Linked DNA regions of Tribolium castaneum. The main gene of each other region encodes a partner of the protein of the gene in region 2 in a complex. Links are inferred from orthologs where the notes say so. Each region holds a gene or a part of one and is shown on either strand. Other genes may lie near its edges. The genes, in order: Mettl14 and fl(2)d-associated complex component.

Region 1 (3,971 bases), on a different chromosome or scaffold from region 2:
TGTTGGGAAATCAGTCTTACTTAAATTTATTTCTAGGGGAGTCCACGTACCTGTGAATGGGAGGCTCAAAGGGCATGCATCGTACAAAACTGTAAATATTGCATGTAGAGAAGGGATTGTGTCATTATTTTTTTTTGATCATTCATTCATCCGCTTGCTTTTTTTAAACCAAGTTTAAAATCAGTCAAAACACTTTTTAATTATGAGAGTACAAATGCTTTTTTGATCTCATTTCATTTTATCTTGCCAATGTTAGTACTTTGGTTACCGGTTATTATAAGATTTTTGCCATTTTCCCCCTAACCCTCTCCCTAGTTTTTTTTGTAGGGAAATTTAGAAATGAACTAATTGTGAACCGAATTGCCAGTACAATATGAAGACTGAATGAAGAATAATTTAACGATCCAAAACTGTATACGATTTCTTGTTCAGGCTTCAGTTCTAATTTTCCCTAATTTTATAATTGTAATAACTTAACGAAAATTTCTCTCTTCCCTAGAAAAGGCTGTTAAATTATTTTATTAAGACCAATAATTTGTATGCTCGAATTATTTAGTGCATAGTTTTTTTCTCAATGTATTTTTTTACATTAGGAAGTACCTTCTTATAAGTTAAACTTAGAACATGTTTTAATTTTTCTCTTTGTGTTTCAACAATAGAAACAAGTTGTACTTACGATGCCAAATTTTGTTAATGTTTTAACTGATTTTAATTGAAAACAATCTCGAACCCAGTGTATGGTCTTCAGAAAAATATTTTTTAACATGGTACCAACCAGTTTTATAATATAAAAATTGTATTATAAGGTTAAAGTAACAAAAATTATGTGACTGCGTCATTATTATTGAACGAAAATAAAGTAAACCACTATTTTTATATATAAATACATAATTGTATGGTTATTATAGTTTTTATATTGATATTGCTTATTGTGATTGTGATCCAAGATTAATATTATATTTTAAGTTATTAGATCTGAGAACACTGCTGGAGATGATTTGGTAGTGTCATAATTTTTTCAAATCAGATCTGAGCGCACTGCTGGAGACTATGGTAGTGTCATAAATTAAAAATAAAAGCTTTAAAAAGTGTTTTTTCAACGTCCCCTGCCACGTCCTCGCTGAAAGTTGCCCCGACCTCGTCCTCCGGAATTTCCTTTGCCCTTTGGAGGCGGACTTTTCGGCCTCAAAGCTTCAATTCGTTCCGTACATCCCGTCGTTATATTATTATTAGTAAAATAACTCGCGTATAAATCGGCATTGAAATTCGAATTTGTTAACTCGGGACCGATCGTTAACCAACCTGGACGTATGGTACTGTCTCTACCGAAAATGTGGAGGCGCCGACGCCCCAAACAGAAGTGTTCGATTATATGGAAAATTTCAACCGGTTTTTCCAAACTTCCATATTCGTTCTCTTCCGAAATGATCAAATCAATGTCGACGTTGGCGTGAATAAAATCCCCGTCGGTTGACCGCCGAACCGTTCCTTTAATACCCATAAGACAGTGTTCCTTTGTCCTTTGGAACACTGCTTTAGGGTCAAGGTTTTTCGAATGACCTGGATTTTTTATGTTTGTGCGAATCCAACAAATATCCTCGCATCTGTAATTAGATTTATTATTACAAAATTTTGGTCTAAAAATGGGGAAAATACCGGCGAAAGCCCCATTTTCTGAGACACACGCGCCCCATGTCAAGTCCATCTGAACTTCCACACCACAAAAATACGAAACTTCGTTGCGCTGCCACTTCCCCCACATCCAAATTCATGATTTGGTCCCATGGCCAGAACTGCATATTTGTGGCCCCCATGGTTCTCTGGTATTCTTCCAAAGGTGGTTCAATTAAAATCACATCAAACTTACAATTTAGGTTTTTCAAATCATAAGTCGTTAAATCACATTTGAGATACATAGGGGGATTTGCAGTTTGTGCAATAAGTTCGTCTTTTAATTTGATTAATTCACGTAATTTGGGGTACTCCTCAAACCGGTCCGCTAGACCGACATCGCGGATGAAATTCTGGGGTCTTTGACCAGTGTCGACAAAATGTTGGCAGTAGTCATTATGGGGGTTCGACGATTGAGTCCCTTTGAGAAAAGTTGAAGAGTCACGATAGACCAATTCATTTGGAGTGTCTTTCTTGTAGTCGTATTTTTCGTTTTCGTTGTTGGTGGAATCGGGACGTCTCTTAGAGACCTCGGTTGTGGTTCCTAGGACCTGGCGGAGCTCCTCGGGGTTGGAAACACCAAGCTTAAACATTATTTGTCAGTGATACATAACCACATTTTTACTATACGTACAGTTTGAGCCAGAAGTTGCTTGCGTTTCCGTGATTTCTCACGCAGGTGTTTCATAACTTCACCCATTTTCAAGTGCAGACGGGTTTTATCAACTCATTTTATTTAGTTTCCCCGCAGTTTTTGGCAAAATTCGGAAAATTGATGATAATCAAGTAGCGCCACCGCTTGACATATCGTGGCGGTAGATTTAAATTGGGGGATGAATTATTTGTGGTAGAAATAAATTGTGTAACACTTAAGGACAAATAAAGTTTTGTTGAAATACTTTATTTCTTTTATTTAGAAACCTGAAAAAGTTGGCAAATAGTAAAATTTGGCGCTTACCTGTACCAGAGTACTTCAGATAAGATTGAAGAAAAACATGCTGAGAAAAAGCAGGAGATAAAACTTCTCTTTGGCCCTTATCAGAGTTCAGTCGCGCAAATTACCAAAAGCGTGTCACCTACACAGCCCTTAAAAACGCGTAAAAATCCTTACAAAGTGACCATTAAATGGGGTTAGTCATTAATTAATTGTGGACGTAGTGATTTAAAAAAAAAATGTCTTGTAATTGTGCTACACCTCGTGGAATCGAGGTAAAAAATTCCGACACACAATCAGAAGTGTCGGAAAGCGGCACGGCTACTTCTGGTTTCAACTCAAATTGGGGCTCCAGAGAGGAATTAAGGGATTTTGTTGCCAAACACGGATTAAAGGACATTTCGGATTTGTACCAGGACCGGTTCCGGGTCGACCGCAAAAAGTTGGAACAGATGCTTAGTGGTAAGTAAAGTTTTTTTTGTAATTTGTGAAATTATTTGTAAAAAAAGGGGACAACGATGCACTGATCCCTGCTGACGTTTTTTTTGCGAACATTATGGAAGACACTGACACTTACATAACGTGGCCAAACAAACTCAAATTGGGGGCTAAATCGAAAAAGGATCCTCACGTGAGGATCGCCGGCAAAGAAGAGGATGTTAAAGCCGCCAAAGACAGGATTATGACGGTTTTGTACACGAGATGCAATCGTGTAACCATGAAAATGGACATAAGTTACACGGACCATTCGCATATTATCGGCAGAGGAGGGCTGAGTATTAAACGTGTCATGGAAGAAACTCAATGCCACGTACATTTCCCTGATTCGAATCGTTCGAATCCGATGGAAAAAAGCAATCAAGTTTCGATTTCGGGCGATTTGGAAGGGGTTGAAAATGCAAGGAGTCGCGTTAGGGTATAGTTATCAAACATTTTGAATCCAACCCTACCACTAGTACAATCATTTCAGGAATTAATTCCGCTGATTTTTGGGTTTGAGCCTCCAATAATGGCCCAAAATATTGATAATACGTGTCCTTACGTAATTAAAATCCAGGAACAGTACAAAGTGCAAGTCATGTTCAAAACTAGGTCCAAACTTCATGCTACTATAGTACTAGTCAAGGGAGTCGAATGGGAGGTGGAGCAGGTGAAGCAGGCTACAATTTTGCTCATGGAATACATGTGCGAAAATTTGACGGTACTTATAAGTTGTGTTTTCCAACAAAATTCTAGAAATTTTTTTAGAACCAAATTCCGGTTCAAATGACTATCCAAATTTCGCCCCAACACCATGCAATCGTTTTGGGCAAAAATCATTCAAACCTAAAGGCAATCATGCACTACACCAAATGCCAAATCATGT
Region 2 (4,448 bases):
AAACTGAGTAAAACACGTTGTTCGTAAAAAACCAGAATAAGAAAATTGGAAAAAAATTAGAAAAAATACTGCCTTAACAATTTAAAGTTTTTTCAAAGATTTAAAATTACAAAAAATACATTGAAAGAAGATATTAATGAAAGAAATGTTTTAGAAAACAAAGATTTTTTTGCATAAAACGTAAATGCTGATTACCAATCACAGAGCATTCTGTCAGGTTTATGACCTTTGTTCTTTAATTTTTATTTCCAATCCCAAGAGCTTCATTTTTTACTTTTTTTTGCTTACGTTTTTTTCTGTGTTTTTTTTTAATTGTAAAGAACTTCATAATTGTTTTTATTATTAATAGTAGCATAGTATTTAGTTAATATAAATAATAGTTAATGATTGCAAAGTTAAGCTAACTGTGAAACCTAAGTATACCTATAAAATTCTGAAACGGCTTCATTTAACTTATTAATTGGAAATGTACTTCACAATTTTTAAGCTAGTTATAACAACACTAAAAAAAACTTAAGTTAACAGTGATACCATCCATCAAAACTTTTAGATAAAATCAAAAATTATGTTAGCCAAACAAGTATGTATTTAAAAGGTGAAAACATCTTCAAAATTGTTAGAATTTCAAAAAAAACTGAAAAGGTGGATAGTTCAGTAGACAATGATTTAGGTAAGGGTTCAATAAATTTGGCAGTATCAAATTGAAGCATTCTAGATTTATTTACTCCAAAATAAAGCTAACTTTTGGGAAATTGTTTTATTTTATTATTTTCCACAATCATAGGTACCATAAATACCAACACTAAAACTTTTAGCCTGCATTTAAAAAAAAAACGCAATTTAAAGAGTGATCTTCAAACCCATCTTTGTGGGAAAGCCCCGAATATTTTTTTTCTTCTTCTAAATTTAGACTTCTGAAGTGATTCTCTACAATGCTCTGAACTATGGATTCGCCAATTTTGAGACACTCTGTACGTGTAAAATCTCTGAGCAGTTCAAGATAGAGGAAACTTTGAATTTGAGATTACACTCCACAGGAAGGTCAAAAGAAACATTTAAATGTGAGATTTTTGGAAACATTAAATCAAAGCTAGAATTTCTAAAAATAAAAATAATAATATGTAAAAGTTGAAGAAAATAAAGTGAAAATGAAACATTAAATGAAAGATTTTCGTCTTTTGATGAATACGAAAGCAGTGATAAACAAAAAATAGAAAGTGCTATTTAAAAGAAACATAATACATAACTAACATTGCTTTGAACTTCTTTCTCGCATATACAATATACAGTGCAATGCAAGGGGGAATCTGCTAAAAGCGTATCTTCAATGAAGACAGTTCTAACAAAATTTTAAAAAAACTTACGCTTTTATGATTTATTGTTTAAAAAACAGTTCGTTTCTTACCTATCCTTATCGTCCTTTTTATCCCGACTTCTCTCCTCCTTGGGCGGCGTCCCCTTGTGATCCCTTCGACTGCTCCCCGTGCTACCTTTAGACCGACTTGGTGAGCCCTTCTTATCCCTTGAATGCGACGAATCTGGAGTATCCCTCTTCTTAGTGTCTTTCGTCGACCTGCTGTCCCGTTTCGGCGACCTTGACTCTTTCTTTTTATGGTCATCCTTCTCCCTATCTTTCTTGTTCCTTTCCTTCTCCTTTTCGCGTTCGCGTTCCTTCTCCCGCTCCCGCTCTCTTTCCTTTTCCCTCTCCCGTTCCTTCTCCTTTTCCCGTTCTTTCTCTTTTTCTTTCTCCTTCTCCTTTTCTTTAGGTTTGGGAGAGGGCGTGTGGTGTTTCTCCTTACGGTCGCTTGACCGACTCGTGGGCCTTGGGGACTTTGCTGGGGGGAGCCCCGGCTTGATTTTGGGGGGCGGTGTTTGCGACTGTTTCCGACTGCGTTGCGGTGTTGGAGACTTGGCTTTTGGGGCTGTTTTAGTTGTTTTTTTAGTTTTGTCGGTGCGTTGTGACGATTTTGAGGATGTTCGTTTCGTTTTTGGTTTCTTTTTCGGGGGGCGCTCCGATGAGGATGAGGAGGAGTCGCGTTTGGTTTTGGTTTTTTTACTCTTCTTCCGACGCGTTTCTATGGACGAGGAGCTGCTGGAGGTGGAGTCGTCACTTGAGGAGGACGAGTCCGAGGATGATGACGAGCTTTCGGTCGAGGGGCTGCTCTCCTTCTTGGTTTTCTTGTCCTTTTTCCGGGCTTTGTTCTCCATTTTCATTTGTAGTTCGAGTTCTCTTTGCAGTTCTTGCCGGCGCTTTTCTAGATCATCAGGGTCGGCGTCGGCTAGTTCCTCCGGGTCCCAGTGGTCCCAATCCTCGTCTGGGTTTCCGGGATGGACCCGTTTATTTGCATTGTCCTTGCGCTGGGTCTTGGCCGCCCGTTTCGAGGGGCTGATCAGGGTGTGGGTGGAGGAGTACTTGCAGCCTTTTCCGTAGGGGCAGGTGCCGCTCTGGGCCCAGTGGTGGCAAAAGTCCTGGCTGGTGCTGGCTTTGGTGCCCAGACGCTCGAACACGCTGGGGCGAGGCTTCGAGACTTCTTTGCTTTTCGGAGTTAGGTTCACGGTTATTTTGCGCTTGACCTGTTTAGACATTTTCACTCAGAGTTCGCGAGGTGAGGAGGAAAAATTGCGAAGCACTTGACGCTACCATATTTACGTTTGACGTTGCCGGCATGGGAGACTGTGGGCTTATCGGCTAGGGGCCTCCTTACATCATGCCGCACAGATGGCGCCCAAAAAACACAATTTCGACTTGCAAACGCCCGATGGACACTTTTTTGATCAATCAAACGAGATTTTAGCCAATTCCCAAAAAACTGGAACGATTTGTTTTGCAAAAATGTAGCCACTTGACAGGTGATAGTTTTTTGACATTTAACAGACAACACCAGTGGCGGTCTCAACCTGAAATTTTACGGGAACAAAAATTTTAAAACTCAAAATCTGTCGATAATGTACACTTTATTATGATATATTTTTGATTATGCCCCACTTGCGAATGATTTAGATATTAATTTCGTAGTTTTGGTCTGTTTCAAATTGTTTTTATTTATTGACAAAAAGTCAGTAGCGTCGCGGCCAACATTTCAACAGGAGCAAAAATATTAAAAGCACTGTTTAAAGACCAATTTTCCATTAAGCAGCTTTCGCATTTTTAGTTCAATCAGTGATAAAGGCACATTTAATTAAATTAATCAAAATTCGTAATGTGGTCTTCAAACAAAAAGAGAGGTTATGTTGACAGTTGTTTGTGTTGTGTTATTGTGTAAAGGAAAAATAGAAATGTAACACTTAAAAAATGTTCAATTCCTGCGACAAACAGAGAAATGATTAACGATGTACGCCCCCAAAAAACCTAAACTACGATTTTTGTTAAAACTTGGAATTTTAATTGCTGCGTTATTAGTTGTTTATTTTACGTTTTTTCATTACAATTCCGATGGTTCTGCTAACGATGCAACATTTTTGTTGCCATTCAAAAAGCCTAAAGAATACAATGTCTGGTTGATATTTACTAAAGTCTCTCAAAGGTCGCCGTTAAGATATAAATTCCACAACTTGTTGGAGAATATTTTAAACATAAGTTCTGTTCCTTTAAAGTTCCATATTATTGTTGATAATAGCTCAAAGCAATTAGCAGTAGGTGAAATATCAGATGTGGTGTCGCATTCGAATAAAGCAATATTTTATAAATTTTATGATGTTGAAGCGTGTGCAAGAGCGATTAGTGATATTGTCGACGTTATGACCCCTCATTTTAGTTCAAAACCGGGTAAAAAGGCTTACTTTTTAATTGCACTATTACTAGTTTTGACTTCAGGTACTTACTACAGCGACGCACTTTTCTATATTTCTTTGGGGCTGTATCGGATAGCCCCACCTTCCCAGCGAACTGCCCTTCTACTAGACTGTGATTTATACTTTAAGAAGGATATTCGATTAGTGTTTGAGGAGTTTGACAAGTGAGTTTATGAAATTTCTTATTCTGGTCAAAGTGACCTGTGACTGACATGAAGTCATAGATCACTTTGATCGGAATTTAATTCAACTGTTTGATAGGTTTAAGCCAACTGCGCTTTTTGGTTTGGCCCCCGAGCTGACTCCAGTCTACCGTCACGTCCTCCAAACCTATAAAGTGAAAAAGAACTCAACATTCGGAGAATATTATCATTCCAAGGCGATATCGAGCAATATGCAGCATCCTCGTGGCTTCCAGGGCTATAATTCCGGTGTTGTTTTGATTAATTTAAGTGCAATAAGAAAATCAAAGGAATATTCCCAAATTATCAGGAATGAAACTGTGCAATATCTCACGTCCAAATACAAATTTCGAGGTCATTTGGGTGACCAGGATTTTTATACTTTGATAGGGTTTGAATATCCTGATTTGATTCAAACCATAAATTGTGGTTTCAATCGCCAATTGTGCGTCTGGTGGCGAGAGCATGGCTACC

What was found.
Region 1: fl(2)d-associated complex component (region 2) and Mettl14 share a complex: the UniProt entries of both Drosophila melanogaster proteins name them as parts of the WMM complex. The link is inferred for Tribolium castaneum from reciprocal best matches to the Drosophila melanogaster genes Flacc and Mettl14.

What each region holds. Positions count from the first base shown.
Region 1 is NC_087399.1:167,047-171,017, forward strand, and holds Mettl14 (N6-adenosine-methyltransferase non-catalytic subunit), read right to left. Parts: upstream 2,501-3,971; 5' UTR 2,372-2,500; coding exon 2,306-2,371; intron 2,256-2,305; coding exon 1,657-2,255; intron 1,605-1,656; coding exon 1,097-1,604; 3' UTR 823-1,096; downstream 1-822. Other genes in the region: BicC (protein bicaudal C), read left to right, coding at 2,845-3,067, 3,115-3,521, 3,576-3,806, 3,854-3,971. UniProt on the Drosophila melanogaster protein: Non-catalytic component of the WMM complex, a complex that mediates N6-methyladenosine (m6A) methylation of mRNAs, a modification that plays a role in the efficiency of mRNA splicing and is required for sex determination.
Region 2 is NC_087398.1:11,172,499-11,176,946, forward strand, and holds the start of fl(2)d-associated complex component, read right to left. Parts: upstream 2,850-4,448; 5' UTR 2,587-2,849; coding exon 1,406-2,586; intron 1-1,405. Other genes in the region: Xxylt (xyloside xylosyltransferase 1), read left to right, coding at 3,331-3,766, 3,815-3,956, 4,054-4,448. UniProt on the Drosophila melanogaster protein: Associated component of the WMM complex, a complex that mediates N6-methyladenosine (m6A) methylation of mRNAs, a modification that plays a role in the efficiency of mRNA splicing and is required for sex determination.